4 linked regions of the Notamacropus eugenii genome follow. The protein of the gene in region 1 interacts with the protein of each later gene in a pairwise test. Links are inferred from orthologs where the notes say so. Each region holds a gene or a part of one and is shown in the gene's direction. Other genes may lie near its edges. The genes, in order: PSTPIP1, UBE2W, PTPN12 and CD2.

Region 1 (7,590 bases):
TTATCTATCCGTCTATTTATGTGTTTGTCTGTTTATCTTTTTATGTATCTGTCTGCCTGACCATTTATTTGTTTACCTACCTACCAACCTATCCACTCATCTACTTGCCTAACTATCTATATATCATCTATCTATCCACCCATTAATCCAGCTATCATTTATCTCTCTATCTCATCTATGTATTTACCCATCCACCTACCTATCAACACACATACATGTATCTGTCTCACTTCTCTGTTTCTATCTCCATATCAACTCTCCATCTCTATTTCAGTTTCTATCTCTCTATCATCTCCATCGCTTTCTCTATCATTTTGATCATCTCTGTCTTCTCAAGTTCTACTTACATTACCACTTACTGAATTCTATTTCTCTCCACATATAAGCTCTGGGATAGCATGAGACAAGCTCTTGACCAGAGAACTACAAATGCCCACATCCACCCTAGTGATGATGCAAAGGAAGAAGTCCCACAACCAAGCACTGTGGTTGCTGGAGCTGCCTCACCCCTTTGAGTTCCAATTCAACAAACATTCATTAAACACCTACTGTGTGCAAGTGGATTAAATAAAGTAATAAAAATGTCCTTATTCTCAAGGACTACGTTCAGCTGGCCCCTCCCTCACACTTCCAAAATCACAGAATATTAGAGCTGGAAAGGACCTTTGAGGTTATCTAATCTAAATCCTTCATTGGGGGGGAAAGAAAAAGAGGGGGGTAAGGAAAGAAAGAGAGAGAGGGAGGAAGAGAGGGAGGGAGGGAGAGAGAGAGACAGAGAGAGAGAGAGAGAGAGAGAGAGAGAGAGAGAGAGAGACAGAGACAGAGACAGAGACAGAGACAGAGACAGAGAAAGAGAAAGAGAAAGAGAAAGAGAGACAGAGACAGAGACAGAGACAGAGACAGAGACAGAGACAGAGAGCGAGCCATAATAGGAATTTCTGCATCAGGAATAAGAGGTACATGAGATGTACTCATTTGAGGGGGAGAGGAAGACATCATTCCTTGGAGAGGGGAGACAGATTTCTTCAGGACCCCATCATGAGATCATTCCTGGGAGTGTGTCAGCACGGTAACAGAGGAGATTGCTCCAGCTTGCCATCTGGTAGTTTCCTATTTTAAAGAAATTTTCTTACTGTGCTGGGCACAGTACTTTATTGTTTCTATGCTGCCCAAGGATGTCAACACCTTTTGTATTAGGTGCCCTGAGACAAAGCCCTGACCACCCCCCTCTAGTTAATGCTATGGCTAGAGGAGCAAAAATGATTTGGCCAAACGCTCACCTCTAATAGATGCCAGAACCTTATCTCAGATCCAAGTCTTTTTCATGCTAAGTCCAGCACTTTTTCCAATACACCATTTTCCCCCTGACTGTACTCTCACCAAATTCTTTTCTCATCAGCACTTACAAACCGGACAAGATGTAACAGCCTCCTCCCCCTTTCTGACTCCCTTAAATATCCAGGGAGAACCGCCAGTACTCCCTGCTGCCACTTTTCTCCAGATGTTTTTGAGTTCCTTCCTTGGACTTGAGGAGTCCAAGTTGCTGTCTGCTCTCCTGATTCTCCATCTTGTGATAATAATCACAATTAATACTGATATGGAACTTACTATGTGTCAGGTACTGTGCTAAGCACTTTACAATCATGATCTTCTTTGACTCTCACAACAACCCTGGGAGGTAGCTGCTGTCATGATTCCCATTTTGCAGATGAAGGAACTGAGGCAGACAGGGTTAAATGACTTGCCCAGGGTCATACCGTAAGTGTCAGAGTCTAGATTTGAATTCAAGATGAGTCTTCCTGACTTTAGGCCTGGCGCTCTAATAGGGGAGACTGGGCTGTGGGTCAGGAACAGGGTGAGGGAGAAAGTGGCACTTGGATCGTATCTTGAAGGAAATCAGGGATTCGAGGGGCTGAGGTAAAGGGGGAGAAACATAAAAAAGGTGGGTGACCATGGTACCGTCACAGGAGGGAGGAACAAAAGGAGAAGGACAGTAGGGGCTCCCTGCTGATCTGCTGCCAGACCTATGCCCTGTGCCCATGCTCCATGGGTAGTCTGGATGTCTGGGAACACACTGTGGGGTATAGTAGTAGACATGAATTTGGTGTCAAAGACCCCAGTCTGAGGAGGCTCGAAGGCTATGATCTTGTCTGCGGAATGGCAGGAAGAGCACTGGCTATAAAGGTTTATAACCTCTCTCAATAGAAAGGCAAGGCTGCACAGGGGACAGAAGGCTGACTTTGAAGCTCAGAAGGCCTGGGCTCAAATCCTGCATCTGACCCATGTTGGCTGTAGGTCCTCAGCAGTTATACGCTCATGAACAGAGAGAATATCTTCACTGGAATCTCCCTCTACAAGTGGTCTCCAAAGTGGGGGCCCCTGAGAAGCTGTAGCTCGACCCCAGTCAGATGGTGGGAAGATATCTTCTGTTGTATCCTCCCAATTCTGGGCCTTGTCTCTCTCAGGCTATGTCCCCACCTCGGACCATGCTGTGGGGCGGGGGGGCGGGGGGGTAGGGGGTGGGGAAAGCGGTGGCCCTCAGAGACTATCACTTCAGAGCAGCTGCTTCCCCAACCCTCAGCATACCCCCATGACCTTGTGGCTCCAGTGGGGTTGATTGTGCTGGATCTTCACTCTTTATGGTGGCTAGGGAGCAAGGGGCCCTTGACCAGGCCCCTTTAGAAAGCCGAGGATAGAATGAGTCACGCAGGACCAGTGAGCCCAGAGACCAGATCTCAGTCTGTTATCTTTCCTCCCAACCCACTTTTCTTCCAGACGTCCCTAGGGCTTCTAACAACACATGCATCTTTCTGGCTGCCCAGCTTTGCCCCTCACTCACCCCTGACATTCACCTGCAGAATATCCCCTTCTCTCCACCCCCACAGCCACCACCCTGGTGAAGGCCCTTATCACCTCTCCTCTGGACTATTGGAATAACCTGGTTGGTTTCCTGCCTCAAGCCTCCAATATGCTCCACTTCCATCTTCTGATCAGCTGCCAAAGGGATTTTCCTAAAGTGTGGGTCTGGTCATGTTATTCTGTTCAAGAGTAGAAGTTGCTCCCCAGTTGCTGCAGTTTGTCCTTCGTTCTCGAAGATGACCATGACATTGCAGAGGTGATGCCATGACATGCAAGTGGACTGGATTTAAGTGAGGCAGGGCTATGCAGAGTCACCAATCTCACTTTCTCCTCTAGTCAGCCTTGAGGATCCCCACTCCACCTTCTACTTGGGAGAGAGTGGAAGTATAAACCTGGTTTATATTGTGAGACTCCGAGGTCATGCTTTACTGGGGAGGGACAAGTCAGGATGTCCAAGGGCTTTTAATCTGAAGGTTCAGAAAAGCAGTATGGTCTGGGTCAGAGGTCACAGGCTTTGCAGTATTTGAGAGTCACTGAGGTGGGGCAGTGGATACAAGTATGAAAGTCTGAAGTTGGGGAAGACCTGAGTTCAAATCCAGACTTAATTACTTAGTAGTGGTGTGATTCTGGGTAAATCACTTAACTTCTCTGTGCCTCAGTTTCCTCATCTGTAAAATGGGAATAACAATAAATAATAATGGCACCTACTTCCCAGGGTGGTTGTTGTAAGGATAAAAATGACATAATGTTGGTAAAGTGCTTTGTAAACCTTAAAACTTTGTGTAAATGCTAGTTATTGGTGCTCTTGTTTGGGTCTAATTCCTGGGTTTGGGTTTACCAGTTGTGTTGCCTCAGGCAAATTATTTCCCCTCTCTGTAGGCCTCAGTGTCCTGTCTATAAAACGAGAGGGGTGACCATATGTCTTCTGCCTGGAAATGACACCTCCCAGACTTGTGATCCTGTGATCGATCCCCTCTCTCTCAAATGCCTTCCCTTCCTCCATGGGAGCCATTTCTCCTTCGTGACCCCACAAGGAATCCCCAAGATGGGCTGTTTCTGCCCCCGCTGCTGTCCGTGGGTGAGAGATGCACTGAAGATGCTAGCAGCCCTCAAGAGAGGCCTGGTCTGCCCCTTCAGCCCCAGGACCTCCCTGAAGCCAAGTGGAGAAAGGCAGAGACAGCGGTTGAACACAATGATTTCCTTGATTCAGTTGGGGGCCCTCGAAGGAAACTTACTTGCATAGGGCATCTGAGAAGCCACATTTCCTGTGTGGGGATGCTCACCATTGCAAAAGAAGGCATGGTGTCAAGATGTCATGACAGCACTGTTCCTGCAGAGGCCCAGGCCTGGGGGCTAGGGCTGGCGGCAGGGGGAGGGAGGGAGGACACCCTTCCTGCCGGTTCCTGTCTTCTTTTCTGCTTTCTGTTTCTGACTGTTGGCCCTCCCTTTGAAGGGAAGAAGGCTGCCCTCTGGGCTGGGCTTGAGAGACCATCACTTTGAAAAGAGATTCTGTAGGTACTGGGAGCTCTTCTGCAGGTCCAGCCAAGGGCAGGCCCAGGGCTTACATCACGGAGCAGCTTCTACTTCCTTATTTCAGTGGCTTCTGGACTTCTCACCAAAAAAAAAAAAAAAAATCAAAACAGGTTCAGCCCCCTTTTTTTAAACTTCAGTCCTCATTGGGTTTCCATCAACAGCTCAGAGAGAGAGAGAGAGAGAGAGAGAGAGAGAGAAAGAGAGAGAAGCAGACAGAAACACCTCAAGTGACTGGAGGGGTGAATCTCTTCCCCCCTTGGCTAGTGGGGTGAGTCAGAGGCCCGACTGGGACCTCTTCAGGCTGCTGTGCCGGCTCCAGAGAGACCTGGGCTAGAACCAGGCTGCACCATGACCCAGCTGCAGTTCAAAGATGCTTTTTGGGTGAGTGAGCGGCTTTCTCTTCCCCCAGACGGTCTGGCTGTCACCTCCCCTCTACCTCCCCAAGTTTTCCAGCTGAATAGATGTCGCTGTGTTTGGTTGACGTTTGTTAAGTGAAGAAAATGAAGGAAAAGGGCCCCCTTGGAAGTGACCTTCCCCTCCCCCCAGCTTCCTCTTGCTTCTGCCACAGTGAGAGTTCTGTTTATCCCTCTTGGTGAAGAGAGGGCTGAGGATGTATGAAAGTCTGGACTGGCCATTTTTTCCCCTTAAATGTCAAACGCTTGGTTCTATTTTCTGTTCCCTACCTTAGTCTTCAGCTTGCTCCTGGCCTGCATCCAGGGCATCCAGGTGGCATGGGACTTTCTCTCTCTCTCTCTCTCTCTCTCTCTCTCTCTCTCTTTCTCTCTCAGACCCGCCCCACCAGTGTTCCCTCCTCCCCTTGGTGGAACAGATTCTCCAGGACACTAGATTCCCTCTGGGCTCTTTGGGCCAGGTACTGAGAGGAGAAAGCCCCCTGGCAACTGACAGGCCTTGGCTTCTCGTGGGCTGTGACCCATATATGGAGGAAGATGTCCTGCCTGCCAGGCAGCTTCTGGTTCAAATGTGATACATGTTGTAGGAAAGGTCAGAGAGCCACTTGTGCTCAGAGAAATTATCAGGGTTTTTGCCCAATAGGAAGGAAGGAAATAAGCAAAATTAAGCACCTACCACAAGAGCCTTTGGAGGGAGGTGCTATTAGTACCCCCGTTTTATAGTTGAGGAAATGGAGGCAAACCAAGGTTCAGTGACTTGTCCAGGGTCACACAGCTGGGAAGTGTCTGAGGCTGGATTTGAGCTCAGGTCTTTCTGACTCGAAGTCTCAGCCTTTGGTCTGACTGAAGATTAGTGTGTGGCTCGTTCCACAGGTGAGGGTGAGGATCATAGAATCAAAAGGTGGAAGGGACCTTGGTAATCATCCTTATTTTACAGGAGAGCCACTGTCTGTAGTGTTTTGGCTTTGGGGTCAGGATGACCTGAGTTCGATGCTCGTCAGTTTGGTGGCCTGAGTTGTGACAATCTCTCTGAGCCTGTTTCCTCAGCTCTTTCAATGGGATAAGAGCATTTACCTCATAATGCTTAGCACGGTGCTTGGCGCACAGTAGGCACTTAATAATGCTGGTTGGCTGAATGACACCATAGGTTTGTTTCAAGGCTCAGATGAGATGATATGAGTAGAGGGCCACGCAAACCATCAGATTCTGTGTGATACATTTTACATCAATATGTGTGTCATCGGTTCATAGGTTGGGAGCTGGAAGGGGACCCGAGGCAATCTGTCTAGCCTGCTCATTTTACAGATAAGACAACCAAGACACAGAAAAGTGAAGTGCTGCACAGACTGAGTGCTGAGAGTTTAAAGTGTAACCTTGGCCTCTGATTTGAAATCCAGTTGACTTTGCACTGCATTGTAGGAGCTGAGGACAGGACACCTTTTCCCCCAAGATAGGCATTGCCAGGTCCTCTGGTCCATCTGGAGCCTGAATGGGAATCACCTCTGTGGCATCCTAGGCAGGGGAGTATCTAGCCTCTGCCAGAAGACCTCCAGCAATGTTGGGGAGTTCATTACTTATGAGATGGCATGTTCTATTTTGGGGAGACCTGTCATCATCAAGAAGTTTTCCCTTGTACTTCAAGTCCACAAGTATTTATTGCCTATTATGTGCCATACAGTCAACAAATTTAAGTGCCTACTGTGTTCCAGTCAGTCACTCATCAAGCATTTAAGTGCCTCCTATGTGCCAGCCAGTCAATAAGTATTGAAGTTCTTATTACGTACCAGTCAATTCGATATCAAGCATTTAAGTGCCTACTATGCGCCACCTAGTCAATTAGCATTTAAGCACCCACTATGCACCAACCAGTCACTTATCAATCATTTAAATGTCTACTATGTGTCAGCCAGTCAATAGACATTTATTGGACACCTACTATGTACGAGGTACTGTGCAGAGTGCTGGGGATACAAAAAAAGACCAAAGAGAGCCCCTGCCCTCAAGGAATTCACAGTCTAATGGAGAAGACAACAAGGCAACAGCAACATTCAACCTAGCCATAGATAGGGTAAAACAGAGGAGATCTGAGGGGGTCACTCTGCAGGTAGTTCAACTGCTTCTGTATACCTTCCCCCAGACTGGGTCAGGCAGATCTGGTCTCTGACATGGAGGCCCTTCAGTTCTCTGAAGACAATGACTACTCCCTCCTAAGCCCTCTCTTCTCCAGTTCAGAACGTGCCACTTCCTCTGCCCAGTGTTGGTATGGCGTGGCTTCCAGGCCTCTCTCACTGCCCCTTTTGTCCTCCTCTGACCCTTGCTGACTTGACACCCAGAATGGAGCCTACTATGCAGGCGAGGTCTGACTGGGGAAGTGGGATTATTATCCAATAGCCTGAGATGATGTGAGCTTTGGGGATGCTGGTTCATGCCATGGGCTCACCCTGCACCTGTGGTCCACCAGAAATAGAGCCCCAGAATCTCAGAGTTGGGCAAGGCCTCAGGAGTCCATTCATCCATCTTGACCTAAACAAGAATTCCCCTTGATGTCAAATCAGCCATCTCTCCTTTGCTGGGGGAAGGGGAAGCCCCCTCCCTCTGGAGAGAACCCATCCCACTTTGAATGTTTATCATTGTTTGAGTGGTATTATGGAATAGTAGAGAGAGCACTGGACTTGTTATAAGGACCTGGATTCAAATCCTGCCTCAGACACTGGTTCTTTGTCCTTGCTAAAAGGCTGCACTGTACCTCAGTTTCCTCATCTGAAAAACTGAGGGTGAGGGTGCTGGA
Region 2 (7,602 bases), on another chromosome or scaffold:
AGTGGCTGCATCTTACATCCTTTAATAGTTGATTAAAACTTTTCTCTTACAGGATCTTAATAAATGATTGTGGAATGAAAGCAGTTGGAACACAATAAGGAGAATAGCAGTAATAAGTCTTAAAAAATAGGTCCATAAGCATTTGTTAAGAACTTACAATGTCAGGCACTGACTAACTATTGGGGATTGAGAGAAAGGCAAAAGCAGTTCCTGTCTTCAGGAGTTTGTGATTTGTAGGTAATGTCAGGGAGGGAAATACTGGGGAAGGCCTCTTGCAGAAGTAGTATTTGATCTGAGTCTTAAAAGAAGCCAGGAATTTGAAAAGAAGGAGATCGGGAAAAGCAGCACTGGGGGAATGGGACTGGCGGTGAGAGTATGGCCAGAGCACGCCAACAGAAGCTGGATATGAAAGGTCATGTGCCAGAAATAGTAAATAGGCTAGTATTTCTGGGTCAAACTAACATGGAGAGGAGTAAAGTATAAGAAGAATGAAAAGGTAAGAAGGGGTTATGAAGGACTTTCTTTAAATGCCAAAGAGATTTTATAATTGATTCTAGAACTAATAGGGAGCTACTGGAGTTTATTAGGTATGGAGTGTGGCATGATGGATGCCTTAGAAAAATGACTGAATCCTGAGCAAAGAATAAATTAGAGCAGGGAAAGACTGTAGGAATTCTAGGGGAAAGGTGATGAGGGCCTGAACCAAGATGGGGGCTGTGTGAGTAGAGACCCATATAAGAGATATTCTGAGAATATGATTATGAAGAGCTTAAAATATCAGAGGAGTTTGTATTTTACTTAGAGACAATAGAGAACCACCAAAGTTTTTTGAGTACAATAGCGTTTGGCCGAGGATGATGCTTGTAATTAATTATTTGCTGTCACTTGGCACTATGAGATATCGTTAAGGTGGAGGTCTGTTTTGAATGAAAGTTTCCTGAATGAATGTTGAATGAAAGAGAGCTGGGTTCTAATTCAAATTCCACCGAATACCATTGTGTGTCCTTGGATAAGACACTTCAGCTTTCTCTGTTTTCCTTTGTTCTGGGACAGGTGCACACAGGTCTCAAGTGCAGATACTTAATGAAGATCCACAATGAGTTGATGAACACAATTCTCCAAGTACCTCAAATTCCCCATGGGGATGCTCTTAGGTTGGTAACAACAACAGCCCTCTCCTGAATGAATATTTCAGGTCCAACAAACTATATTCTATTTTTAGTACTTGTATAAGGGGTTCTTCACATCACCAAAAGGAGGCCTTAGTGCACTTAGTCAATTAGTTAATCCAGTAGGATTCTATTGCTTAATTTGGAAATTGAGTGGTCTACTTGTTTCCAAACTCCTGAAACCCCAGAAAAGAAAGTTCTCTCCACTAAAATCCTTGGCAACAGAAAAAAAAGGGTCAAAATCAGAAATGGATTTGGTTTATCAATGGAAATGACACTAAAGATGTATTACTGACTGCTTTGCCACTGTACTCTAAAGATCATCTGTCCTGAAAGTAAATTCTATACATTGTCTCCCCAGTTAGAATGTGAGTTCTTTGAAAGCAGGGACTGTCTTTCTTTTCTATTTGTAGCCCAAGCATTCAGCACAGTGCTTGGCAGAAAGTATGACAATATTTAACTTAACAAATGCTTTTTTCATTAGTTAATCCAAGGCATAATATTCTTTGCTACCTATATCAATATTCTGGGGCTTTATATTGTGTGTGTGTTCATCCTTCATTGCCAAAGAAGACTAGGCCATCAGAGAAATAATGACATGACTTGCACTTGACTTTGTTTGGAGTGAGGGAGGGCTGTGAGGTCACCAGCCTCACCTGTCCTCTACAGTCATCTGAATCCAGTGACCAGATATTCATCAGGATGACTGGAGATGACCCAGGATGAGGCAATTGGGGTTAAGTGATTTGCCCAAGGTCACACAGTTAGTGAGTATCAAGTGTCTCAGGTGAGATTTGAACTCTGGTCCTCCTGATTCCTGCACTGGTGCGCTATCCACTGCACCATATATTATATGACATATATACATATATATAATATATGACTCTGAATGTATTTTGAATATCTAACTAGATCATTTGGTCTTGTCAGTTCCTTAGATTTCAAGTCATAAATGAAACATGTGGCTGGTACTTGCTATGCTGTTCATCTAAAGAATTAAATGTTGAGTTGTTTTCAGTTATGTTTGACTCTTTGTGACCCCATTTGGGATTTTCTTGGCTGAGATACTGGAGTGGTTTGTCATTTCCTTCTTCAAATCATTTTATGGATGAGGAAACTGAGGCAAACAGGTTTAAGAGACTTGCCCATAGTTACACAACTAGTAAGTGTGTGAAGGCCAGATTTGAACTCAAAAAGAAGAGTCTTTCTGATTCCAGGCCCTGCACTCTAACTACTGACACCTTGTTGGCCTAAAGAATTAAATAAGTTAACTAAATTATCTCTAAGGACCTTTCCAGCTAGAAAATTCTGTGGTTCTATAGTTTTCTGATTTCTCCAATGACTTCTCCATCGCATTTAGCATCCCTGCTAACAAATACATTGAAATTCATATGACCAACAACTTCAGATTTGATAGTGATATTATGATTTTGTCCAGATTCTTGAAAAATGTCTCTTCCTTATTGACATCCATAAGGTTTGGGGTCAAGGCATTAACAAAGGCATTACCCTTTTTTGTGAACATAGGATCATCAAGTATTTTTGCCTTAAAAAGTGCTAGATCTGTCTAGGTATTCATGTTTGACAGTTCAGCTCTAATTGTTAAGCTTCTTCTTCTTTTTTTTAATATTGAATATTTCTTCCCTCTCAGTGTAGTAATTTTGACCGGACAAAACTGTCTTTTCACAGCTTAGACTACATGCCTTCCGGACTATTGTTGATAAAATTGACTAATTTTTCTCCGACAGAGAAAACCAACCAGTTTCTCTAATCTACGCGGTCAGGGAAGTTAGCAAGTAAAAGCAAGCGCTGCTGTAGCTGAGAATATATATTTTGACATCAAAACCATGTAGTTTCATAAGATTTGGAGATGTCCCCCTTGAATATGAACAATCACAAATCCTATACGTTAATGAAGAATAATTAGTATATTTTCCAACTCCTTCTTCTTCAAAGTCACTTTTGAAATTTCATGGGAAGTTTTTTATTTTTTTTCAAAATAAAGACAAATATAAGAAGTAAAAGACACCGTTCTAACTTTAGAATACTTTTAAATCTGAAGTACTCGCGTCTGCTTTGCACAGCATTACCTAGGTGGTTCACATACACGTGCTGCTTTCACGGATGACAGTCTGAAGTTTTTTCCTGGGTGAAGGTTTGCTTCTTACAGAGCATTTTTCATCCTCCAGATCTCGAATGTTCAGGGAGATCTTGTGGATTGTACGCCTCCCGCACCCCCATCCCCAGACGTCCGAAGTTCAGACAGGTTCGTATGTGTAACAGAAATTACAGTAAAAAACAAAATAGATCCACATATTCAGAGTCATTCACACACCGCTCCCCACCTCTCTCCAGCGCCGACTCTGTCCTCTATTTAAAGGCAGCAATGGTGCCAGCACTTGCAAAGTCTACACTTCGGAGGACAGTCACCAGCACGGATGTGCAGTGAGTTCGGAATGCCTCCGCCCGGGGAGCGGCAGGATTCCGAGGCCCGCGCCCGGCGGGTCGGGGCGGCTCCGGGGGCTTGTCGGCGTTTCTCCGTCCTCCCGGCGCTTGACCCCGCGGCCGCCCCGGCAGCAGCGCTCCCCGAGCGCGGGGCGGGCCGGACCCACCGCCTCTGCAGGCACGTCCTCGGGCACATCCCAGCTCATCTCGGCGGACCGGTTCCGCTGATTACCCCTCGTCCTACCGCCCCGCGGGGACGTGGAGACCTCCGGGGCTAGCTCCACACTAAGGCAGGGTCCCGGGGGCGGGGGCCGCGAGACTGTGAAAGTCAGGAGGAAACGAATGGTCCAGAACGCGGGGACCAGAAGGAGCTAATCCCCGGACCGAGGCCAGCCGGCTCCCCGCATCTCGCCTCGGAGCCCTCCCGGGCCCTGGCACTAAACTCCTTCCCCCGCTTTCTCTTGTCCTCCCCCTCCCCCTCCCTCATTCTTTCCCGGGTGCTTCTGGGCGGGGCCGCCTCGGACGTTGGGCCGGGATGGCTGGGGGGTGGGGGGAGAGGACCGAGAAGGAGGAGAGGGAACTGTGAGCACCTGCGGGGCTCCCGCCCCGCCCCCACCTAGGCCCGCCCCCTCTCGCGGCTCGTGGGCCCAGCGGCCAATCCGGATCTCGCTCTCCCTTCTCCTGCGGTCTCCGACCCCCCGCCCCCAAGCCCGGATCCTGGGATCCCGCGGCGTGACGCGAGCACGGCGGCTCCTCCTCCTGCGTCTCTGGCTGCGCCGGGCAGGGGGGATGGTTCCATCATGGCGTCCATGCAGGTGAGAGGAGTTTGCGGCATCCGAACGCCCGGCTGAGGAGGGGTGAGGTTGTGGGATTGGCTGAGGGCGGCGGCGGCGGCCGCGGGAGCGGAGGGCTGCGAGCCTGCCGGGGTCTGCGGCGCCGGGCCGGCTCCGCCTCTCCTCGCCCCCGGCGGCCGCGGGGAAGGCGGGGTACCACCGGCCCGCCCTAGCCGACCCCGGAGCCGGAGAAGTTGGGGGAATGGTGGGGGGAAGGGTGCGGAGGGCTGGGTTGGCCCGAGCCGTGGCCCCCCGGCCGCTCCCCTCTGCCTTCACGGCCCAGGTTCCCCTGCTTGCCCTTCTCCCTGTCCCGAAAGGAAACAGCTGTTTTCCCCGTGGGCTTCGTGACCGCCTCGGCGTCCAGACCGGAGTGAGAGGGAGGATCTGTGTCAAGTGGGAGAGACCGAGAGACCCCGAGGTCGGTCCCCGGGGACGGCGGCTCCGGCCGGGCCTCCGAGGCTCTTCCTTTGGCCGCCTTCCTTCCCTTCTTCTCCCGCTGCCTCTGCTCCCCACCTCTATGAGTAAAATACCTTCCCCTTCGCCCTTGAATCCAGTGCTCCTTGTAGCTACAGTCACTCCCTTGACCGGCAGCCTTCGCCTCTGGCTCTCCCCTGCCCCGTACCTTATGTAGGACATCCTCCCACTGTTTAAAGTCTCACCCAATAATGCTCCAGTCTGGGTCTCCCCGAAACTTTCACGTACCGGCTCCTCTGCTGCTTCCTCACCCGATGTGTAATCCCCCCGGCCCCCAGAACTAAGTACCCTACTTTTAACCTTGGTCGCAGTTTTACCGTCCTCTGCTTTCCTTTCTCCAAACATTTTAGCGAAACGCTTTTTAGTGGGAGTTTATTAATGTCATTTCCACTGGAGTTTTCGATGAGGAGTTAGAGACCCTTATCGATACTGTACCGTCCGAAGACTGCCTGGACAGATGGCAGTGTTCTAGTTCGTTGAAATGGATGGCACATGTGTTCATTCAAAGGTGACTAGAATTACGAAAATGTTAGTTGCTTGGAAGAGAAACTAAGTCCGAGGTGTGAGCTGTCAGCTCAGGATTTTTGGAGCTTAAGGACTTAACTCTTCAGGGAACAAAACTGCTTCATTTTGCTTCACGCCGTTAAAAATAGCTCTTTTGTTTTTTGGCTTCTGAAAAATGTAAACTCCTCCCAGCTTTTTCTCTTTGTAAGCTGTGACAACACGATCTTCCTTTTCTCCTCTTCCCTTTTCTGCATCCTTCCCCTTTTGTGCACACACCATCTTTGTTCCCATTTACCTCATTCTCCTTTTATTATTCTCTGTGCTTTTTCTCTTGCCTTTCCTTCCCTACTCTTTCATGCAACACACAAAAGGTTATATATTTATTTTTGTTGAAGAAATACAAGGAAAGATGTAATTAAATTAATTTGAGGGGAAAGTGTCAGTTCAATATGTGGAAAAAATTCGGAGTATTAAGTACTCAGGAGAGTTTGATCACGGAGGATCGATGGAAAGTCCATCTATCATTTAAGACTCAGAAGGAGAAATGTAGGGAGAAACCCTATGTTAAATAGAATTTGAACTAAATGTTCAAATAACCTTTATTGTGGGGGAAAAACTATCATATGGGATTATTTGGTAGAGTGTATTACAGTGATAGTGACTTGCAGCAAAATATTAAGAGTAAAATTAGATCTGAGGTTCTGAAAGACAAGATTATAACTGGTTTTTTTTTTTTTTTGAAAATGAGAAGGGAAATTTGAATTGTGAGCAGAAACCAAGTTGGGACAGAACTCAATTTTTATCAACTTAGAGTTTGACAGACAGAGGCAGTATGAAAAATGTAGTCCACACAGTATGTATATGTATATGTGTATGTGTATGCATGTTTTGTGTTCCAAGCATCACTCTTTGTCCTAAAGCTTTTAGTGACTTTAGACTAGCTAACTGGGGAAGAAAACTGGTTTTGTTTTTGTTAATTAGAAATATATTTGAAATTTTATTCTGGAATCTCTAACACTAAAGTTATCCCCTGCATTTGAAATTCTAAAATGTTGGTATACACTCTCTGATGTGCAAGCCTTAACACTTTCTTTGCTTTTGATCATAAAGAAAAGTCAAGTCTCTTGAATGATAGAAAAACCTTGAAATTTAAGTCTACAAGACTATTTTGGAAGATGATTTTATTCATGTTTTTTTGTCTTTTACATTGGTCATTTCTTAAAAGGGAAGATGGGATGATTAGAGTATAGAAATCCTTTCAGATTGAGGCCCTCCCTTATAACAAATTAAAACAATTAGAAAATAACATCTGATACAATAACTATATCTTACAATACAATACTCTAGCCTAGTATCATTTCCCTGCTTCTGTGAGGAGGGAACTATATTTCATTATATATTCTTTGGATCCTTCATTTTTTTTCCAGTTAACTGTACTCAATTCAACTTCCTTTAAATGATCTTTTCATTTCTATAGTTGTAGTCATGAGATATGTTACTCTTTGGTTCTGTTTATTTTGTGCTCCAAGGTCATATAAATCTCTTTTTTCCGGATGCATAATATTCATACAGCATAATTGGTTTTTTTTCCCAACCGTTTCCCAGTCAATGGAATCTATATCATTGTTTACTTTTTTTTTCTACTATAACGAGTGCTACTATGAATGTTTTGCTGGATCATTAGGTCAAAGAATATGGACAGTTAAGTTCCCTTTTCTTTCAGAATTCCAAATTGATAACCAGAGCTATCAAACCATTTGATGGATAAGGCACCTAATTTGTACAGTGGAAAGAGCTGTGGATCTGGAGTCATGAAGACCTGAGTTCAAATTCCATCTCACACACTTATTAGCTATGTGATCTTGGGCAAGTCTCTTAATGTCTCTTTGCCTCAGTTTCTTCAGCTGTAAAGTGGGAATAATAACAGGGTCTTACCTTACAAAAATATTGTGAGGATCAAATGAGCTGTTTGTCCAGTGCGCAGCACAGTGTCTGGCACACAGTAGGTACTTATATAAATACTTATTCCTTTCCCTTTATATCTTCATCAACAGAATATTAATGTTCATGCCTTCCCACAGCCCCATTAATGTTGACTGTTTTTTTTTCTTTTTGCAATTTTGCAAGGTGTTAGGTAATTTCAGCTATTGTAATTTTATATTTCTCTTACTATTAGT
Region 3 (7,914 bases), on another chromosome or scaffold:
TTTGATCATCTAAGCACTAGCTAGGCTGCCTCTCAGTCTCTAATGAAGAAAAATAGTATGGAAAATATGAAAGACAATAAGAAAAGCCAGAGGCATGGCCCTACAATATTGCATTGTCTTGTAATTAGTATTAATTGCAGCTGCAGTTAGCATTTATTGCATAACATACTTTGGAGCGCCCTCAGTGCAAGAGTATTTGTTTCATTCAATGCTGTCACTAACTATCTGGGTGACTTTAAACAAATCATGTTTTGCGCTTCATATTGTACAGATAGAAAAGTAACCCAGGATTTTTAAATTACAGACACGAAGCTCTGAGGATAAATTATACAAAGCATTCAAAAAATACTTTGAAATATCAAGCACTAGGCAAGTAATAACAGGAAATTTATTCTCTCTCTCCCTATTTGAACTCTCCATTTGAATGTGCCATATGTCTAAGATTATGGTATTACTATCCTAGATGATCAAGGAGAGAAGTAATGTTCCTCTTTTTCTCCACTGGCATTTAGATAAGTCCTTTGGATAAAGGTTGTTTTCCCCAATGAAACACACATTTCTCCAGTACCGTGGCACAGTGGATAGAGTGAAGGACCTAGAGTCAAGAAAACTCTTCTTCCTGAGTTCAAGTTTGGCCTCAAGACACTCGGTAGCTGTGTGACTCTGAACAAGTCACTTAACCCTGTTTGCCTCACTCTAGTGTCTTTGCCAAGAAAACCCCAAATGGGATCATGAAGAACAGGACAGGACTGGATTGACTCAACAACAACAAAAATGCATAAGGCATCATCCTAAGTGCTGGGATACAAGGACAAAATGAAAAATAGTCCTTGTCCTCTAGGAGTTTACTGTAAACAGGAGATCCAGGAGGGTGTAAAGATAAGAGAAGACTTTCCAAGGGAAGGGGCACATAAAATGAGCCCTGAATAAAGCTAGAACTGTAAAAGGCCTAGACTAGAAGCTCATTTCAGGCATGCAAAAGCAGGGAGGCAGGAACTGTAATACCAAGCTCTAGGAAGAGAAAATAAACAGTTTTAGCTCGAATGAAGAGTGGGTAATGTGTAGTAAACCTAGAAATGTAATCTGTAACTAGGTCTTAAAAGGTTTTACATGCTATACAAGAGGCAGTATGGCACTATGCTTTAGTGGAGAGATATCTATATTGAGAATTTTCTCATCAGAGAATTCTGTATTTCAATAAAATCATAAATCTCTTTCCTATTTCTTAAATGACAAGAGTAAGGGAATGGCATGACTTGACTTTGCTGTCTCTACAATCTCCTTTTTAGAAATCCCACAATAGAAAATACAATGTTTTCTACATGCATTAATGTAAAATTTCTAAGAAAAAAATAACATTCCTTTTTTAAAACCAATACTTCTTTGAGACCAGTTCATAAAGGAGGTGGGGGAGAAAGATTCAGGGTGGCATAGGCAAAAAGAGCCCTTTCTATTTCTCCTTTATGTTTATCGATTAGAATTTAGAGAGGATCAGGCGGTTTCCTGTATCAGAGGTTCAGAATGAACTTTCACCTATCTATATCTATAAAATTTATTGATATATCTAATTTATCTTTTATTCTTCTGTAATCTAATCTATTATTCACCTATTATCTAATCCAATTTTCTATCTTTTATTCATCTATCGTCTAATCTATCTATCTATCTATCTATTCTCCTTTAAAGGTGTTACTAGGGAGATACTCAGGAGTAGATTTAATCTCCTTTGCTAGTTTCACACACATGATTCCAGTACAAAAGCATAATGACTCAGTGGTTTATGCAACAAGCTGGAAACTCAGGCCCTGTGGGTTTCTGGCCTTGCTTCTGCCATTTACTTTCTAACATGGTGTAAGTCATTTTAAATCCCCATTCTTTAGTTTCTTCACCTGTACGATGAGGAAAATTCTATCAAATTGCTTTCCCGATGCATAAGAAACAATAAAAGTAATTCACAAATTGAGTTATAATGCTATGAAAATCACAAAATGCAAACTTTTCTGAGATAATAGCTATGAAAGTGATGTGAAAATTAAAATTATTATATAGTGTAAAGCATTATTATCAGTGCTAATGTGTTGAAAGGGGTACTAGGAACTTGAAAGAAGCAAATGAATCTGAAAATTCTTTTGGACAATTAGATTTATTCTTTTTCTCACCTAAACTTTAGTGAGAGCTCTGGAAAAGTAGCAAGACTCACTGATTTGCATTCATGTTCTTTTCTGCTTCTTGACAAATTATTCCAAATAGTGGGGCTAATGAGCAATGAAACGATTAAAAAGTGAGACCAGAGAAGAGAGGAAGAAAAGCAAAGAGTTGGGATATTAAATCCTTGAAGAATCATTAACTAACATCTTCAAATCCTCTCTGTCCACTGGATCTTTCAAATATGTTCTTCAAATATGTACCGGCCTCCCTATCTTGGGAAAAATAAAACAAAATAAAATTTTGACTAGATTCCCCTCCCTCCAGCCTATATGCTACTTTTCTTTTTACTTTAATTGATAATTTTCTCAAACAAATTGTCTATACCTGCTTTCCTCATTCATTCTTAACTTATCCCACTGAAATTCAGTTTCTGATCCCACCACTACATTGATTGCACTCATCACAGTCACCAGTATCTTCTTAATTTCCAGATCCAATTGCTTTGCATTTTTCTCACAAGTTTATTTTATAAGATTAAATATAACTGAAAACAGGACAATGAAAATATACGTAGGGATAACATTTAAAAGAATCTTGCATCTCGACAGGCTAGAGTAGAGGTGTCAAACTGGTTGCCTGTGGGACTCCAAGCGTGGTTGAGCTAGATTAAGATGTAAATGGGAAATGTTTAACAAAATATATAAAAAGACAACATAGATAATATTAATTTGTGGTTTTTAAGTCAATATATGGCCCCCAGGGATCCATTTCTATTTCAATTTGATACCACAGGTCAGAGCAGCAGGTTGAATCTAACAAGATAAAATTTAATAGTGAGAAACACACTTTGGGGGAAAAAAATCCACTTTCAAATCCAAGATGGGGAGTGAGGAGGGGAGGGCACAGTTAAACAATAGTTGTTCTTCAAAAGATCTGGAGGTCTTAGTTAACTACCAGCTCGATACGAATCAACAGTATGCTGCGGCAGCCACAAGAAGCCTAATGCAGTCTCGAGCTCCACTAAGAGACCCGGAGGTTTCAGCAGCAGGGCGATGACCTGCGTACCCTGCCCTCCTCAGACCTTCTGGGGAGAACTGTGCTTGATTCTGCATGCGGAGAGTGTGGAGAGCAGGGCAAACAAGACGGTCAGTGGCCTTGAGTCTGTGACCTATGAGGGTTAGTTGCAGCAAAGGTTGGAGAAGAGATGATCTGAGGCTGGGGAGTGGGGAACAGAATGGCTACCTCCAGATATCTGAAGCCCTGTCACATAGAGAAGGTAGATTGTTCTCTCTGGTTTCGCTGGACAGAACCAGGAAAGGGTGGCAACTGCAAAGAGGTCAGTTCAGGCTTGGCATCGGAAAAGACTTGCTAATCATGCCAGCTGTCTTGTTAGGGCTCTCGTAGAAGTGCTGGGCTTCTCTTCAAGCAGATGCCCACTGCATGGATGTTACAGTTTAGATTTCCTTCATATATGGGTTGGACTAGGGGGGTGCTGAGGTCCCTGCCCCCCCCCCCCCGACTGTGAATTATATACACATGTATAACGTATACATTTTGTTACGTGTGTAAAACATCTTTTTAGGACTGGATCTATGACGTCATCTGTTTAGGGAGCTCCTGGGGATGAACCCCCTCTTCCAACCAACCTTTCTGCATCTTACAGCCTTACAGAGTCTGGGCAACCAAGACGCAGAGGACAGCAGGCCAGCTCTCTATCCATTATAACATCCACCATGCCTGTTTTCTTCAGGTTTAGTGATCTGAGTGAGATGTTGAAAAGAATTTAAAAACTGGGGCATTGGAGGATGAGATTAGTGACCTTGGGCAAGTCTCTAGACCTCTCTCGCTCTCGTTTCCTTATCTCTAAAATGGGAATAAGAATGCTTGCAACCTTCTCCCGGAGCTCTGATGAGGAAAGCCTTTTGTCAACTTTAAAATTCTTCACAAGGGAGTTAACAGTAGTTGATGTCGGAGATCCTTTCGAGAGCTTAAACTTCTGCATTCTACAGTGCCGAGCGGTGCTGTGCTTGTTCAGTCTGCACGTTCCCCAAGCAGTATGAGCATCTTCCTCATGGGGCGGTTGAGGGGAGCAAGTAAGCTCCTCCCAAAGAGCTTCACCCCCATCTAGTGAACCCGTCAGCTTCATCCGTGCACTAGGAAACAGAGAAAGATTCAACGACTACTGAACACCTAAAGCAGTTTTTGACATAGCCACAAGAACCACAATTCCCAGTAAGCCCCACTCTTCCCAGGCCGCCTCACAGACACTATCCTCTTACACTTCGGCCCCTCCTCCCGCCATCAACGTTGCATGCTGGGAATTGTAGTTCTAGCTTAGGGATGGGGAAGGGGAAAGGAAGGAAGAACTTAAACATTTTCGGGAATGTATTTTTCCTCAGTATGGGGAGCGACATACTCTCGATCCAATAGAAGTCCTACTGGGTCCTGTAAAGGCAAAGCCCTATGAGATTACAAGAACTCTTCTCCGGGGGACCTACAATATCCTGGAGAGCAAATTCTCCGGATAGCCAATTCACCACCAGGATAGTGGAGGGGCGGAACCCCTGGCCCCGGAAGGAGAGCGGTGATCGCTCCACCAGTCAAGCGACGGGTCTTCCAGCCAGTTGGAACCCGAAGGATGGGACCGGGGCCGTGCTTTACATCGGAGATTGGAAGAGAAGAGAAGGGCCGGCAGGATTGACAGAGAGTTCCGTTTGGGGCGGGGCTGAGGTCGCGGGGCCGCGCGTCGCGTCGGGGCGGCGGCGGGGACGCGCGCCTGGGGAAAGAGGTCGACTGTGCCGGGCGGAGGGGGCTGGGCAACCTAGGGGAGTCGCGTCCCGAAGGCGGCGGCGGCGGCGGCGGCGTCTCTGGCGGAGGCGGAGGCGGAGGCGGAGGCGGAGGGCGGGGAAGGAGGATGGAACCAGCTGGGGGCTGGGGCTGGTGCTGAGACGCGGCGCTTCTCCCTTCGTACGGCTCCTGGAAGTTGTGCGGGTGTTCGCCGGACGCCGGTGCCGCCCCTGCCGCTGCCGCTGCCGGCCGGGCTTGGCGGGAGAGCAGGCGGGCGGGAGGGGCCGCCGGGGCTGGCGGTGGTCGGGCAGGGAGGGGGGGAAGGGAAGGGGGAGCGACCTGGGGAAGACGGAGCGCGCTTTGCGCCGGGCGGGCGGGCGGCGGCGGGGGGGCCAGCGGCCGCAGCCGCCGGGAGGACGCGAGGCGATGGAACAAGTGGAGATCCTGAGGAAATTCATCCAGAGGGTCCAGGCCATGAAGAGCCCGGACCACAATGGGGAGGACAACTTCGCCCGGGACTTCATGGTGAGTTCTGCCCCGCCCGGGGTCGCTTTGTGTGGGTGCCCGTGCCTGAAGAGGGGGTGTCAGCGAGAGCCGGGGGCGACGGGGCGGACGCCCACCTGCCGGGCGCGGGGGCTCCTGCGGCCGCGGGGGGTGGGGCAGCCGCCGCCCCGAGCTCGGGTCCCGCGGAGCGGGAGTGGCTGTGAGGCGGCGGCTCCCTTCGTCGGTCTCGGAGACCACCTATTGTTCCCCCGCTGCCCCCGCCCCGGACACCCCCCAGGCTCTGGCGGGGCGCTGGGGTAAGTGGCTCTGGCACCTTCTCGCTGCCCTGAAGCCCCTCCTCGGTCCGCCCAGCTTTTTGCTTTGAGTGTCTGGAAAGGGTCAGGGCAGCGGGGGCTTGGGGCTGGCGTTTTCTTCCCAGTCCTGGCGTTTCCGGGGGGGGGGGGGGTAAGGGAGAAGGGTGCAATCGGTGTGTAGGGCGCATGAAGCAACTCCATGGGGTGTCTGGAGCTCTGGGTGGTTGGATTGGGGGAGGACTGGACCGCGCCTGGGTATCGCAGGTTCTCCCCCAGGTTTGCAGGAGGCATCTCCTGGAGAGAACGTGTTCAGTGTACCAAGATGTCCATAGCTTCCTGCCTGGAGCCCACGTTATTGGGGTCGTGTGTGTGTGAGGTGGAGGACAGCAGGGAAATAATGCTGAAGGAAGCCTTTTCCTAGGGGATTTTGTGCAAGGCAATGGAGGGGATGTGAATATCACTTCCTATCCGGGGTGGGGGTGGGGAACTTGGGAACAATAGTTGGGATGGGGCGGAGGCGATGGTTCTCTGGGCTGGAGGCCTGAACTGGGAGATAACCTTCCTCACTCTTCCTCCCCCTTGTGCCCCCCTCCCATTCAGTGTCGGGGCTGGACAGATGGGAAGGACGTAAAGTTGTCTGCAGGTAGATGAGTTCAGTGAGGTTAGATATCTGGAGAAGGGGAGCTCATAAAGGCAACATCCTTCCATTTTCTATTCACCCCCCCCCCCCTTTTTTTCTGGACAATGACCCCTCAAGAATTATTTCCCGTCCTGGGAGGAGGCGGTGGGAGGTGGCCGGTGGCTGCTGTTGCTCCTACGGATATTGCGCAAGACTCTGGGGCGTTGGAAACCCTGGAGGTCTGAGGAATGGAGGAGGAAGCGGGACTTTGGGAAGTGCTTACTCCTTCCAGGGCTGGTTTGGGGAGAGGGAGTTAAAAGCTGAGATCTGCTTGGGAAGGATTTTGCTCCTGAGGGAGCATAGTCTCATAACTATATTTAGAAAATGAAAAAGATGTAGTGCTGGCATCCACAGAGAGGGCTGGGGAGAAAACATCCAAACGAAGAGAGCAGATGGATTTCTTTTAAGGTTCAGGTTATCCTTAGGCTAAAGCAAAGTACCCACTGACTTGAGGTTAAAGCTTTACTGCAGAATTCCCTACTCACATGTAGGGAATTTAGATGGTAGATTTTAAAATGAATTGTGATGACTTTACAGAGCCTTGTGATTTTTCGTGTTTTTTTTCCTGAAACCTGTAACATAAGATAAGGAACAAAGATAGGTTGATGACCATAATTTGAAGCTTATTTCGAAAATGTATATTTGGGCTGCAGTGATAAAATTTTACCCAGGAGAAAAAAAGAAAAGAGTGTATGGCAAGTGGTTTAACCCTATCAGCCGGAAATGGCTATTTTTCTTTGATTTGTGTGTTTCATTCATTCTTTTTCTGTGCTTTTTGAGAAATAGAGCTACATTTAGGAGGAAAATGTAAATAAGTTATTTTGTTTTGGTTTTTTTTGATAAGAATTTTCAGTATGTTGAGATAATTTGAAATGGAGTCATTCTTCAAAGTAACTGGGATTTGGGGAGGTCCTATTTTAAATTTTTTTTTACTACACCATGATGGATGAAGATGTTTACTTTAAAATATAAACTTCCAGAAATAATTTTTTTCAGTGCTAAGGAATGAAAGAAATAGAGGAGTTGTAATCTTTGCTCATCTCTTCATTTGTTTTCTTGTTATTCTAGCTCTTCTTGGATACTTTTATCTACTTCACTTAGATACTTGAGACTTTTTCTTATGAAGGAGAAGAATTACATAATTTAATGATTCGGTACCTGTAGCTTTATGATCATTACCTCAGGTTCAGGTTCCCAATACTAGTATATCTTTAGGGAAATGTGAAATACCTTTTGGGACTTTTCTTAGATTCCTTTGAGTTGTGTAGAGGCCGCTTTTCTCTCATTGCCCTGGGGAAGAAAACTTGTGTACTCTACGTTTTAGACACAAGCCTTCCAGGGATAAATTATTAATTAAACTATTTCATTTCTGAGTATATCTGCTTAGGGAGAGAGAAATAAAAAAATGTCAATCTCAGTTTGCTTCCATAATTATAAGGCATTGCTTGGTGACTCCAGTTCCAAGGTTTGATGACTAAGGTCTGTCTCATCACACCAACTCTA
Region 4 (7,776 bases), on another chromosome or scaffold:
ATTAATTTCATATAACAAATAATTTAAAAATATTACAATTATTTATGTACACAGCGCCTGGCACATAGTAAGTGCTTAATAAGGGCTTGTTGAATAGAACAAGTACTTTTAAAAGCACAATAAATATGCAAAATATTAACACCAAAATATTAACACCATTAAAATGTTTAAAAATATGCTTCAGTTCTATTTTATGGTTAATTAAGAGGGACAGGGGAGAAAAGTAAAGAAGGGTACATAATAGGACTGGCAATGATAGAAAAAGAGAAAAATGTAGGAGCAACGTAGAGAGAGTTACAGAGGTACATAATTTAATTCAATTCAACAAAAATTTGGCTACCTATATTATACAAGGTCTTTTGGGGGGATTTGTTGTTCAGTCGTGTCCATCTCTTTGTGACTCCATTTGGGGTTTTCTTGGCAGAGATACTGGAGTGGTTTGCCATTTCCTTCTCCAGTTCATTTTATAGATGAGGAATCTGAAGCAAACAGGGTTAAGTGATTTGCTGAGGATCACACAGCTGTGCTCACTTAGCCTGGTGTCTAAGGCCTTGATTCCTATTCCAATCTTCTTTCCACTGAGAAGAGCAGTATATGAAGACTTTTAGGGGCTGAATCCTTGCACTTACTCTGATTCAAGCCTTGGTTGCTCACTAACACTTCTCTAGCCAATCTGTTGCCAAGTCTTGTTTCTTTTTTCATAACTTCTCTCGCATCCATTCCTCCTCCCATTCACTCACCATCACCCTAGCCATCATTCCTTCTCACCCGACCTGTCTCAATGGCCTTCCATCTGTTTGCCTCAAGCTTCTCCATTTGGATCTGTCCTCCAAAGAACTGCCAAAAGCTTCTCTTTAAGAGCAGTTCAGATTGTGTTATTCCTTTGTTCTATAAACTTCAGTAGTTCCCTGTTACTTCAAAGATCAAAAATAAATTCCTCTATTTGACATTTCAATATGTTTATAACCTGACCCTTCTTACATTCTTGGTCTTTTCCTGCCATACTCTTCTTGGACTTGGTCCAGGCATGGTGGCTTACTCACCATTCCAAGAATTGACATTCAGTTTCCTGTTACTGTGCCTTCTCTTTATTGTATTTCTCTGTTGTTTTTCTCTATATTTCAGGTCCCTGGGGTCTGAAATACACTGTCCAATCACCTCTGGTTCTTATAACCCATGATTTCCTTCAAGACTCATCTCAAGCATTACTTTCCATAGGAAACCTTTCCTCATCCTTCCAATGGCTAGCGTACTTTCCCCAAAATAGCTTGTATTCATTTTGTATCATGTTGTTGTTGTTTAGTCATTTCAATTGTATCTGACTCTTTTGTGACCCTATTTGGGGTTTTCTTGGCCAAGATCCTAGAGGGGTTTGCCATTTCCTTCTTCAGCAAATTTTGCAGATGAGGAAACTGAAGCAAACGAGGTTAAGTGACTTGCCCAGGATCATACAGCTGGTGTGTCTGGATTTGAACTCAGTTCTTCCTGACTTCAGGCCTTGTACTCTATCCACTGTGCTGCCTAGCTGTCCCCCAGGAGTGTGTGTGTATGTTTGTGTGCATGTGTGTGAATACACATATGTATATATGTAAATATATGTGTGTACATACATAAATTATATGCATCCCTACCCACCTATGAACATGAATATTAAGTGTGTAATAAAGATGTGTATTAAAAAAAAAAGATGTGTATTGATTGACCCTGGTTGGCCTTCCTAAATTTCCCCCTAAATGTCTTCCTTTCTCAAAGGTACCAAAGAAAAGACGATCTGGAGGCCACTGAATGGGTCAGCAGCAGCAAGAGTATGTCTGCCCATGTTAGGATTCTTATTTTGATATCTCCTAGCCTTCTTACACAGAGATGAAGATGTTTCAAATGTTAAGTAGGGCAGAAGCTTTTTCTTTTTAGTTGAGAAGATCAGGTGAACTAAATCACAGAATTATTAAATCTTAGACTGGAAAGGAACCTTGATGATTAAGTCCATCCCCTATTTTACAAGAGAAGGAAATTGAGCTAAAGAGAGGAAAAGGATCACTGGATCATAAATTTTGAGATGGAAGAGACCTCAGAAGCCATGTGGTCAAAACTGTTCATTTTAAATATGAGTATGACAAAGGCTAAGGTAGGTTACGTGGTTTGCCCAAGGTCTCACAGAGGAGATTTGAAGCCAGGTCCTCTAAAATGTTCAAGTTGACCCAGCCGGGGCAGTTCCTGCTACACCATCTGCGATCAACCCTGAGTTTTGCTTCTATTTTCATTTTTTCTCCCGTTAAAAGAGATGTTCTATGGGTATCAGTTCCCTTATAACTACAAAACACATTTTGAAATTTCAAAAGAATGAACTCTCCCCAATGGACTGATGATTCACGGTGCTTTAGAACAGGGCAGTTTGTTTGGACAATGCATGGACTCAAGGGCAACTCACCCTTGAAGCTCACTCACCTGGGCTGGATTTGATCTAGGTTCCCATTCTTCCACTTGCCCTTTTAGAACTTTCTGACTTAATCCTTGCTTTACCTAAGATAGGATAGGTTGAAGGAACTAGGACTGTTTAACTTGGAGAAGAGAAGGTTCAGTGGGGAACATGAATGCTAAGTATTTTCAGGTCTGTTAAGTGGAGGAGAGATCCAATTTGTTCTTTGGACAGGACCAGGAGAAATGGGTGGAAGTCATAAAGTAGCACATTTAGGTCTGATGTCAGGGAAGACCTCCTGAGAGAACTATCCAAAAGGAGAATGTACTGCCAGAAAGGGTGACTGCAGGAGTCTCTGTCATTAATGGTTTTCAAGGGCTGGATGGCACTTTGGGGGATTTTTATAGGAGAGTTTCTTTTGGGGGCCTGAGTCAGACTAAATGGTCACTGAGGACTACTCCAACTTTAAAATTCTGCGATTCTGTCAATTCTGGGTCCTTTCAATTGTTCACATAGCCAATGGTGCCATCAAAACACATTCCCACTTTACATCCCAGTGGATGTGAGGAGCACCATGTTTCATACTCAAGAGACAGTCCATAAATAATGGGGTAAATCAAAATGAAAATTTGGGGTCTAGCTTGTTATTTTAGTGGGGTAGATTTCTTGATGTTTGATTGCTTTCCAGGTAGATTAATTTCCTCCCTCCCCTATATTTTTTTTTGCCTTTAGTAAATGTAACATTTTACCAACCTTCCCCTTCCTCTGTTATCCGCTGGAGTTCAGTGGTCATACACAGACCTTGGCTTGAAGTTCCAAGTTTCTGCATCTCCAGATGCCAAGGCATTCCAGGTTCAGTGCTGCTTTTGGAATCAGAGGATTTGGGTTCAAATAATGACTTTGCTTCTTCGTACCTGTGTGGGTGACCTTGGATGAGTCCCCTCACCCCCTGGACCTCACCTCCCTTTTCTTTCCTTTTGAAAGGAGGGTATTGTATTAGGTGACCTTAAGCTCCCTTGCAACATTAAATCCATAATCCTTTGATCTTCTCTCTTTCTTTTTTTTTTTGACAGCAACAAAAAGAATCTTGACCTAATTCCTCCAAAAGCCCCATGATGCTCTCTGTCAGCACTGACCTTTCTTCCCTTGGACATCACATAACTTTTGCACCTCTCTTAGGAATTATCATTTATTATTTTGCATTATAGTTATTTGCATATGTGTCATATTTCTCCTACTTGAGTGTAATTATTCCATCTATACTGTGCAACTGTCCCCTCTGCTTAGCTCAGTACTCAGGATACAGGCCTAAATGTTTGCCAAATTGAAATGAAAGAAAGAATGCTGTAGGAACTAACCTGTAGGGGTTCTTAACCTGAGACCATTGTATTTGCTTTTTAAAATATTTTAATAACTGTATTTTCCTATATTCTTAGTAATTCTGTGTATTTTATTTTGTATATTTAAAAACATGACTGAAAAGAAGTCCATAGGCTTCCCAAGATTGTCAGCGGAATTCATGGCACAAAAAAGGTTAAGAACTTATGGTCTAAACCTTCGGTCAAAGGCTAGAATACAAACCCTTCCAGACACACTGGGTTGGGGTAGTGTGAGAGGGCAGGATGAGGAAGTGAGGAAGATGGTGTGGGAACAGTATATTGTAGTGGATAGAATATAGGAGCTGTAATTTGGAAGTGCTGAGTTCAAATCCCATCTCTGGCACTTCCATGAAGCAAGTCACTTAAACTCATTGACATTCAATCTCTTAATCTAGAAAATGGGGATAATAGCACCTGCTGCCCCCACCTCAGAAATGTTGCTGAACCTTATGCTGAGGAGTCCATAGGCTTTATCACACTACCAAAGAAGTCCATGGCCCAAAAAAAGTTTAAGAATCGCTTCTCTAAATACATATTTTAAGATAAGGTAACATTGCAAAGTACTTATGTGAAAAAATAAAGAATGACAAATAATTGGAGGGATTAATATAGTGCTTATGGGTGTGACAAATAACAAGAAAAAAAAGATATTGCCCAAGTTTAAAAAAATCTTACTGTATGGATCAAACAAAATCATGTGTAGAAAGCACTCTGCGAACTCTCCATGAATATTGGTTAGACCATTCACAAAAGCAAGAGGAGATCATTCCTCTATTATCAAAGGGTTTACGACTGGGCACTATTTATAGGTAAGAAGCCACAAAAACAAGAAAGTCTCTGGTGGGCGCCAGTAATGTAATTTCTAGCACTCAAGTAGTCTTAAAACAGATCAGATCTTGTGAGATCACAGTGCCCACTTTAGCTCCATTTCCTGCTTGTCTGTGTGAAAAAGGGGGAAGAAGCCGTAAAGGGGAGCAGGAGGGTAGAATGAACTTTGGAAGACCTTGAATACTCTAACTCCTCCCCATAATTCTGCTGTTTCCCTTCACTGAACATTTGAAGACAGTTTATGCTTAGAGAACTCTTTTTCTGTCCTTGTGCCTACAGCAAGCTTGGCATCCTTCCCCTGATCTCCACCCTTCCCATCCCCCTATCTCCACCCAGCCAAATTAGAATACTGTACCTTTAGTAGTTTGAACTCTTAAATACAAATGTAGGAGAAACAGAAAGACAAGCGGTTCTGCTGGAGAATTGCCACTTCTCACTTTGATGAATTTTGGGTAACCCAAGTTGGAGATACCTTCCAAAGATGAACTTCCAAAGTCACGTTTTAGTCATCTACCTGCTTCTTTTGTTCTTTTCCCCAAAAGGTAAGTGAACTGTTTGGGTCTCTGTTGGTTCCTCCATCTTCCTGAGATATTTAGAGAAGCTGCTTTTAAAAAAACCAAACTTCTGAGTGTAGAAATCTAAGGGGATTTGAAACAGTTTCTCTTCCTTGTGGGACTATCCCCTTGTACATTCTCTTGTCTTCTTTTTCCTTTTAAGAGCACTGGATTAGAAGTCAGGTAAGACCTACAGTGTAGACCCAGCTCAACCGCTTGTTCTTTAGCTCTGGGACCTTGGGGGGGACCCAATCTCTTCAATGGTTTCCTGATATCTGATGATTCTACAATGTCCTTGCTTTCTTTAACAGATGTCATGGCAGAAAACAATGATGTTTGGGGTGTACTAAATCAGTCCATCCTTTTGAACATCCCTGATCTCCCGAAGGACCAAGATAAACATGATATACGGTGGTATGAAGGATCGACTCTGATTGCAAAAGGAAATGTAAATATTCCCAAGGCTAACCATGAAAGTCACAACTATGAGATATTCCCAAATGGAACCTTGAAAATTAAAAAACTGCAGAAAACCTCTGAGCAAAACTACAAGGTGTCAGTGTATGATAAAAATGGCAGAAATGTGTTGGAGAAAGAATTGACTCTGCATGTGATAGGTGAGTATTCCTTTTCTCTGTCTCCTTCATTGGTGGTTGCCCATCAGGCAATCAACATTTCTATGGTCTTTTCCTGGCTAGGGATTTTAATAAAGGACTGGTTAGTGGAGAAACAAATGGGAAGCTGATAAGGTTTTGACTATGGATGGATGCTCCAGCTGAAATTTCATGTCATGTACTTCATGAGGAAGGTGTCTTCTGATGACCTGATTCCCCATGTGATCTCCCCCCACCCCAATTCTTGCCTCGTTCTGTTGTTTTTCCCATGTCCTCAGTAACCTAATCCCAGGCTTCTACATGAGGCAACTTGTTAGCTGCAGGAGGAAGATGACATGAAATGAAAAATGAATGGAATTCCCTAAATATGCCCAGACTTTATGATTTCATCGGCATAGGAAAGTGCTAGTGTGATGTACCCTGTGCCAATGAAGATTATGCACTCATCTACATTTAATCAAAATTGCTATAAGTGTCTTGTCCAGGGTTGCAAACTAAATATGAATCAGAGGCAAGCTTTTTTTTTGGTGAAGGGGAGGCAATTGGGGTTAAGTGACTTGCCAAAGGGTGACACAACCAGTAAGTGTCTGAGGCTAGTTTGAACTCAGGTCCTCATGACTCCAGATCTGGTCTCTATCCACTGCACCACCTAGCTCACCCAGATGTCAGACCTGAACACTAGTCTTCTCAACTCCAAAGCCAACCCTCTCAGTTATGATACAATATCTTCCCAAGGTCAAATAATCTCAATTAAAAGACCTTATAGTTCACTTAGCTTGATACCTTACCTGTGATATAGATTCCTTCTGTAACCTCACTAACATATGGTTATTGAACCACTTCTTACACACTACCAGGCATGGAAAATTCATTATTTCATGAAGCATCCTGTTGTATTTTCTTTCTAGGACTTCTTGCCCACCCTTTCCCTCCCCCTTCTCCTTAATAGTACAAGGTAACTTCTTTTTTTACATTTCCATTCTCAAAGCACCTTTGTCTTCCCCAGTAATCATAGGAAGCAATCTTAATTTCGAGCTAAGTAAAAATCTTACTGTAGGTATACATTCACATTCTAGTCACCTTCTCTACCTTTTATGCCTTGGGAAATACTTATTCCTAAATGGTCCCACTAGACTAGTAAGTTCTGTGAGGGAAAGACTGGTTTAACTAAATCTTTCATGTCCCACAGCACCTAGCCCAGTGTTCTCAAATTAAATTCAGCAAACCTTTATTAAACACACATTATGTACAAGGTACAGTGCTTGGCCAGGAGGCTATAAAGATAAAAACAAGTGATCCCTGTTCTCATGGAGTTTATATTCTATTGCAATGCAGTAGGCATTAAAATGTTTGTTGAATGTAATGGAACTACAGTGGCCTGTCACCCATAAGATTTTCACACCTGACCAGGGCCTGAGAGGCATATTCCCAATCCCTACTTTGCTTTGAGTCCATGTGGGCTACACAAACTAGAACCAATTTTCCATTCAGGGATGTTCTCAAAGTAAATGGAGTTTTATTTTTTTTTCTTTTCAAAGAGGCTGTTTCAAAGCCAGAAATGACATGGAACTGCACAGAGGGAAGTATAATTTGTGAGGTTCATAATGGGACTAATGCTGAGCTGATCTTGTTTGATAATGGGACACAGCCTCTAAAGATGGGGAACTTGAATAAAGAGGGCATGAGGCTCAAGTACACCTGGCCAAAGAACGACCCACTACCAAGGGAATTCAAATGTGTGCTGAAAAACCAAGCCAGTGAGGAGTGGATTGTGGACCAAACTCCCTGTACAGGTGTGTAGTTGGCAGCGGGTATGAATTAACCATGTTCATAACAACCATAATAACTGACATTTATATAGTTATAAATGTATATATATATATATATATGTATGCTTTTAAATGAGTAAAAACAATTTCTGTACTTTATCTGACTTGAGCCTTATAACAATTCTGTGAGAAAGATACTAGAGATATTATTATCTC

The links.
Region 2: the proteins of PSTPIP1 (region 1) and UBE2W interact in binary tests that used the Homo sapiens proteins (3 or more experiments, as listed by UniProt). The two-hybrid records come from large-scale screens. The link is inferred for Notamacropus eugenii from reciprocal best matches to the Homo sapiens genes PSTPIP1 and UBE2W.
Region 3: the proteins of PSTPIP1 (region 1) and PTPN12 interact in binary tests that used the Homo sapiens proteins (3 or more experiments, as listed by UniProt). The link is inferred for Notamacropus eugenii from reciprocal best matches to the Homo sapiens genes PSTPIP1 and PTPN12.
Region 4: the proteins of PSTPIP1 (region 1) and CD2 interact in a two-hybrid assay, tested with the Homo sapiens proteins (2 studies listed by BioGRID and IntAct). The link is inferred for Notamacropus eugenii from reciprocal best matches to the Homo sapiens genes PSTPIP1 and CD2.

What each region holds. Positions count from the first base shown.
Region 1 is NC_092872.1:256,747,264-256,754,853, forward strand, and holds the start of PSTPIP1 (proline-serine-threonine phosphatase-interacting protein 1), read left to right. Parts: upstream 1-4,574; 5' UTR 4,575-4,740; coding exon 4,741-4,773; intron 4,774-7,590. UniProt on the Homo sapiens protein: Involved in regulation of the actin cytoskeleton. May regulate WAS actin-bundling activity. Bridges the interaction between ABL1 and PTPN18 leading to ABL1 dephosphorylation.
Region 2 is NC_092875.1:294,725,285-294,732,886, reverse strand, and holds the start of UBE2W (ubiquitin-conjugating enzyme E2 W), read left to right. Parts: upstream 1-4,589; 5' UTR 4,590-4,649; coding exon 4,650-4,865; intron 4,866-7,602. UniProt on the Homo sapiens protein: Accepts ubiquitin from the E1 complex and catalyzes its covalent attachment to other proteins.
Region 3 is NC_092874.1:153,756,070-153,763,983, forward strand, and holds the start of PTPN12 (tyrosine-protein phosphatase non-receptor type 12), read left to right. Parts: upstream 1-4,898; 5' UTR 4,899-5,361; coding exon 5,362-5,460; intron 5,461-7,914. UniProt on the Homo sapiens protein: Dephosphorylates a range of proteins, and thereby regulates cellular signaling cascades. Dephosphorylates cellular tyrosine kinases, such as ERBB2 and PTK2B/PYK2, and thereby regulates signaling via ERBB2 and PTK2B/PYK2.
Region 4 is NC_092873.1:296,546,379-296,554,154, forward strand, and holds the start of CD2 (T-cell surface antigen CD2), read left to right. Parts: upstream 1-4,771; 5' UTR 4,772-5,104; coding exon 5,105-5,165; intron 5,166-5,488; coding exon 5,489-5,794; intron 5,795-7,329; coding exon 7,330-7,584; intron 7,585-7,776. UniProt on the Homo sapiens protein: CD2 interacts with lymphocyte function-associated antigen CD58 (LFA-3) and CD48/BCM1 to mediate adhesion between T-cells and other cell types. CD2 is implicated in the triggering of T-cells, the cytoplasmic domain is implicated in the signaling function.